Linked DNA regions of Nothobranchius furzeri. The protein of the gene in region 1 purifies or fractionates together with the protein of each later gene. This does not show direct contact. Links are inferred from orthologs where the notes say so. Each region holds a gene or a part of one and is shown on either strand. Other genes may lie near its edges. The genes, in order: zgpat and otud5a.

Region 1 (2,509 bases):
CTGAAAGATGCTGTCGTTGAGGCTGATGGCATCATCCCACCTCTCAGAGAGGACGACCCACTCTCCTCAGACTCTGATACTGAAGAACCTGGAGATGGGGAGGCTGTGGGGTATGCTAAAGGTATAAAGACCATTTTAAATAAAAGGAATCTGTATGAAAAAACACACCTCCTTCACTTAAACCAATGTAAAGGTTGTGTTCTTAAATATAGTAATTATGTAATTATATTTTAAAAGACATATTTAATTTGTAAAAAATATAAAAAAATATATACAATAAATATAAATAAACACCTCCTTACATTTTAAGCTTTAAAAATATTTTTTATGTTTTAACATATTTTTAAAAAATATTTAAAATTAAAAAAATATATAAACATTTGTATACATCAATATTTACTTTTTTATCTAAACTGAGTGAAAGGGTGTTTTTAAATGTGAATGTGTGTGTGCATGTGTGTGTGTAGGTGGGTGGATGACTGATTGAGTTGTAAAGTGCATGGGGGGGGGGGGGGGGGGGGGCTCTAGGACTCAAATACAGGCCGTTTACTATTTTACATAAAATCAACATTAAACATTTGAATATGAATACACACCTTGAATTAAACCAATTTAAGAGTTATGTTTTTAAATATTGGAATTATTTTTTTATTTTTAATTATTTGTCTTATTCTGAAAAAAGTATATATATATATATATATATATATATATATATACATACACACACACACACACACTTATATACATATATATGTATATGTGTGTACACATATTTATTTATATATATATACATATATATGTATATATATATATATATATATATACAGTATATATATATATACATATATATATACTGTATATATATATACATATATATACAGTATATATATATATATATATACTGTATATATATGTATATATATATGTATATATATATATATATATATATATACTGTATATATATATACATATATATGTATATATATATGTATATACTCTATATATATGTATATATATATACATATATATGTATATATATATGTATATACTCTCTCTCTCTCTCTCTCTCTCTCTCTCTCTCTATATATATATATATATATATATATATATATATATATATATATATATATATATATATATATATATATATATATATATATATATACACACACACACACTTATATATTACATACATAAAAATGTAATATACATGTTGTTACACATTTCTGCGTTATTTTTTTCGCCACAGTTCTGGACTCTGCCACAGAATCCACGTTAGCATCAAGCAGCGCTAACTTCGGTGGCTGGGAGGCTCACACTAGAGGCATCGGATCCAAGCTCATGCTCAAAATGGGCTATGAATATGGCAAAGGTGAGAGTTCAAATGCATTTGGTGTTATGAAGTCCTGTCATCTGTGAAATACTCTTGTTTTTTTCAAACTCTCTTTTTAGTTTAGAATCGAACTAAACTGAATCCAAATGAACAAATGAAACTGATAAAATAGCTGCTGATGATTAATGACACACAGAGATAAAAAAAAGTGTTCGTGTTGACTATTTAGCGCTTTTAAATTCATTTCTGCTGAGGATGTGCTCAGTGCAGTTTGCTGCGTTGCCTTGCCAGTACGTGACATATTGCTACCTGTAATTCTACTGTTTCAAACATTCAAAGGCACATTTACATCCATAAAACCTAATCGTTGGTGCAAAAGCTGTTTGATGATCTAGATCGAGTCCGTCTCCTAATAAAATGTTTTAACTTGATCCAGACAAAAATAATCCTAATCTCAAAGAAACCTTTACTTTGATGACCGGCCCGGGGGGACAGTTTTCCATATGAAAAAGAGATTTTCTCTTTCTTTTTTTCAATAAATAAAGATCAGGGGTCTCATGCATCAAGCTTGTTTATGCACAAAACAGGGTCGGAAAACTGCGTGAGCAACTTTCCACGCAAACTTTGGGATTTATGAAAGAAAACTTAGCGGAAAAATGTGCGCAACTTTAAGTTGACTAAGGACCTGGCTTATGCACATGTTGGACGTGGAGAGCACCTGCAGTGCTGCTGCTGAGAAGATACAATTATGAAATCCTGCAGCATTATCACTTGTACCGCTTCGTTTTCACACAGAACAAGACCCCCACATGCACACACGCGCACACTCACACACACACACACGCGCGCACGCACACTCACACAGCCTGACGCGCAGAATACGGAGTGCAGAATATCAGCAGGGGGACAGATTGAGACAGAACATCATGCGTCTGTGACAGTGTGTACTTGTACAGGGGAGATCTCCGTTTGGCTGACTGGTTAGCATGCCTGACTTTCACCTGGGAGTCTGGGGATCGAATCCCGATTGGACCACTTTTTTTTATATCCGCCACAGATCTCTCTGAAGAACTCACAGCATCGACGGCTTCAGCAACGCTGTGCCGCTCCGTGGATTTTCTCTTATTTGTTTTGCAAAAGCACTTCCTTTCATTTCTCCACCTCACCCACAGGTAC
Region 2 (3,841 bases), about 4.5 Mb from region 1:
AGGTGAAGAACGCCGACTACTTCTCCAACTACGTGACAGAAGACTTCACCACATACATCAACAGGAAGAGGAAAAACAATTGCCATGGCAACCACATCGAGATGCAGGCCATGGCCGAGATGTACAACAGGCCAGTGGAGGTGTACCAGTACAGCACAGGTGAGTCCTGTCCCCCTGCTTTACAATCAGCCAATCGCATCGTAGTTTGCTTACCTTACTCCGCTTCCTCCTGCAGAGCCAATCAACACATTCCACGGCATCCACCAGAACAACGACGAGCCAATCAGAGTCAGCTATCACCGTAACATCCACTACAACTCGGTGGTGAACCCAAACAAGGCCACGATCGGGGTCGGCCTGGGGCTGCCCGCCTTCAAACCCGGGGTACCAGCACACACATCTCTCATCTCCTCCAGCTCGTACTGGTTTCCTCATTTTCATGTGTGTGTGTGTGTGTGTGTGTGTGTGTGTGTGTGTAGTACGCTGACCAGTCTCTGATGAAGTCAGCCATAAAGACGTCGGAGGAGTCGTGGATCGAGCAGCAGATGCTGGAGGACAAGAAGAGGGCGACGGACTGGGAGGCCACCAACGAGGCCATCGAGGAGCAGGTGGCCCGGGAGTCCTACCTGCAGTGGCTCCAGGACCAGGAGAAACAGGCCCGACAGGTACCGGAGCAGCTCAGTGAGGCCAAAACAGAGTCTGGCGGGTCAAAGTTCAGGAACGATTCCAGAGTTTGACGTGCTGTCTTTCTGCGGGACAGAAGTCTAGGTTGTTGTGTGAACTTTGACCGTGTTTTCAAAGTCTCCTATCAGAGGTCTCCAACCCATCTGTTAGATGTTGTTATGGCAACCAGCAGAAAACATCCTGGTTTTCAGTCTGATTGGTCGGTTTGATGTGGTTCTGCAGCTTGTAGTTCTAGTCGTAGATGTTGGAGATGAAGTTAAAGTCCCATTAGTTGTCACACACACAGGTGTGTGTGCGAAAAATGTTCTCCGCATTCGACCCATCCCCTGGGGGAGCGGTGAGCTGCAGACAAGCCGCGCTCGGGAACTATTTGGTGGTTTAAACCCCCAATCCAACCCCTTAATGCTGAGTGTCAAGCAGGGAGGCATTGGGTCCCGTTTTTTCAAAGTCTTTGGTCTGACCCGACCAGGAATCGAACCCTGATCTCCCAGTCTCAGGGCGGACACTCTACCACTAGGCCACTGAGAAAGGTCACGAATCCCACGGCCTTTCTATGTGTTCCAGCCCCGTAAGGCCAGCGCCACCTGCAGCTCGGCAACGGCAGCAGCCTCCAGCGGCCCAGACGACTGGAGTGCCCGGTCGCCACGGCAACGAGACTCTGACCCATCTCACTCTGATCTCACGACCAGCTCATCAGCGAACAACAAGCCCCCCTCGCCTGCAGGAGCCGCCCTGATCCTGAGCAAACCGCCATCGCCCTGCGCCCCAGGTGACTGACACACACACACACACACACACACACAGAAATGTTAATGTGCGAGGCTGATGACTGATAGGCTACTTTAAGCTAATGGTAACTGACAGCTAACGGCTAGTTCAAGCTAACGGCCCCGTCACAGTTAACAGCTAGTCTGGGCTGAAGGATAGTTTGTTAGAATCAGAGTCCAGAGTGGCGCCGAGCTGATGCAGAACCTGACTGGTGTGTTTGTGCTCAGGTCCAAGTAATCAGAGTCGTCACCACTTGGAGTACAGAGCCATCATGCAGGAGATGTCTCCCACAGCGTTTGGTAAGACACTTACACACACACACACACACACACTTACACACACACACTGAAAGATAGACACAGCTGTCAGTCACTTCTGTTGTTTACAGTCAAACCTCAGCTGGAGTCAACAGGAAGCAGCTGAGCAGAGCATTGTGTGTGTGTGTGTGTGTGTGTGTGTGCGTGTGTGTGTGTGTGTGTGTGTGTGTGTGTGTGCGTGCGTGCGTGCGTGCGTGCGTGCGTGCGTGCGTGCGTGCGTGCGTGCGTGCGTGCGTGCGTGTGCGTGTTTCTGAGCAACTCTGAGTTTATATCAGGGACCAAAACATTAGAAGTTCCTGTTTGTTGTGTTTTGTTTGTCTCTGAGCGGACGGTCGTGTGTCTGTAAACACTCAGATAATTCCACATCATCATGAGAACCAGATTCTGCCGATCCTCTCTGAGCTTCTGCAGCTTGTTGTCATGGCGGCTTGTTGTCACCCCCCCCCCCCCCCCCCCCCCCCCCCCGTTCGGTTTGAGCTCCTTCCTGTTTTCTGCTTCTTGTCTGGGTTCGGGTCGTTAGAGTCCGTATTCTGGTTCTGAAACTGAACAGTTCTCACCTTTTTTTGGTTTGGTTTCAAGATGAGCAGCGAATAAAGCAGCAGGTAAACTCGCTTCTGATTGGCTGCTGCGGATATGAGACGTGAACCTTCGGCTCTTTGAAGGTTAAATGAAAAGGAAACTTCAAAACCAACTTCCTGCTTCGTTAACTAACCCGACCAATCCCAGAACCAGCTCAACCAGTAGACTCCTGTTGGTGTTCAGTAACTAAACCAAAATCTTTATGAATTTGTTTAATTAGCCTTCATTCAGTAAATATTTTTTTATTCTGAAAAACATAAATGTTGTTTTCTTTGGTTTTATTCTTTAAGTTGAGTCTTTGAGGCATTTTTTAACCTGGGTTAGTCAGCTTTACCAGGTCACCTGACACACCTGCTGAAGGATGGATAACTGTTTAATATTAAATAACCCTAACCACCTAAACTCAACTATGAAGAAGAACCAGAACACGGAGACGGACCCGACTGGGTCAAAGGTTACTCAGAACCCATTTAGATCAGGAACCAAAGTGTGTAAGGTCCACCCTGACAGCAGGGGGCGCTGTGTGTGTTTCAGGTCTGACGGACTGGGAGGACGATGAGATCCTGGCGTCGGTTCTCGCCGTGTCCCAGCAGGAATACCTGGACAGCATCAAACACCAGAGCTCCTCCAGCACCGCCATGCATCGAGATAGGGAGGCGTCGCCCGACAGCAGCTGATACCCGGGTGACGCCAAACTCCGGCCCCTGCCATCTCACCCCCTCCTCCCCCGCCTCACCTCTGACCTTCAGACAGAGCTCAAACACAACAACGATGCACTCTTTTTTTTATTTTTTTCATCAGCTTCCTCTTCCTCTGTCTCACTTCCTGCTCCTCCCACTTCCTGGTACTTCACAGACACAGCTGGGTCTTACCACTGATCTGAGATCAGTTATTATTTAAAGTCAGCAGCTTCCAGCAGTTTGAGTTTTACTCCTCTCGTCAGTCAGGCTGAACAACCCCAACCCAACAGAACCCGGTGGCCGTCCCACTAACAAGTCTTATGAACTCAGCCACCATGTTGTCCCACCGCTGTCAGCCATGTTGTAGCAGCGCGGCTCATCTTCATCAGACGAACTGAAGCCTTCAGCCTGTAACTCCTCTTCATCATCACCGTCATCATCAGACTTATTTAGCTGCATGTTTAATCGACCACAGCGACATCATAGAAAAGCAACAAATAAAAAAAGGAGAAAAATAGAAAATTGTCATACTTATCCTCTTAATGATTGATTATTGTTATTATTAATAATATAAGTTTGTTTTATTTTATTTTTGTTTGTTTGTTTGGGAAGAAAAAAGTTTTTTCTTGGAATAAAAGAGAAAAATGTTTCTGAACCACGTCCGAGGTTTCTATTCAGTGTGACGGACGACGCAGAGAGACGATTAGAAGATTCATCCTCGAGTCCTTTGGCGTTCGGGTTCCTTCAGTGGGATTATTTATAAAATGTAAACGAACAACAGGATTTGTTTGTGAATTTTGGTAAAGTGAGATT

Evidence for each region.
Region 2: the proteins of zgpat (region 1) and otud5a purify together in Homo sapiens (affinity purification with mass spectrometry; 3 studies listed by BioGRID, with this or other methods). This does not show direct contact. The link is inferred for Nothobranchius furzeri from reciprocal best matches to the Homo sapiens genes ZGPAT and OTUD5.

The regions. Positions count from the first base shown.
Region 1 is NC_091755.1:51,595,939-51,598,447, reverse strand, and holds part of zgpat (zinc finger CCCH-type with G patch domain-containing protein), read left to right. Parts: coding exon 1-121; intron 122-1,249; coding exon 1,250-1,372; intron 1,373-2,509. UniProt on the Homo sapiens protein: Transcription repressor that specifically binds the 5'-GGAG[GA]A[GA]A-3' consensus sequence. Represses transcription by recruiting the chromatin multiprotein complex NuRD to target promoters.
Region 2 is NC_091755.1:47,047,782-47,051,622, forward strand, and holds the end of otud5a (OTU domain-containing protein 5-A), read left to right. Parts: intron 1-2; coding exon 3-159; intron 160-235; coding exon 236-384; intron 385-479; coding exon 480-665; intron 666-1,248; coding exon 1,249-1,453; intron 1,454-1,679; coding exon 1,680-1,751; intron 1,752-2,882; coding exon 2,883-3,025; 3' UTR 3,026-3,208; downstream 3,209-3,841. UniProt on the Homo sapiens protein: Deubiquitinating enzyme that functions as a negative regulator of the innate immune system. Has peptidase activity towards 'Lys-48'- and 'Lys-63'-linked polyubiquitin chains. Can also cleave 'Lys-11'-linked ubiquitin chains (in vitro).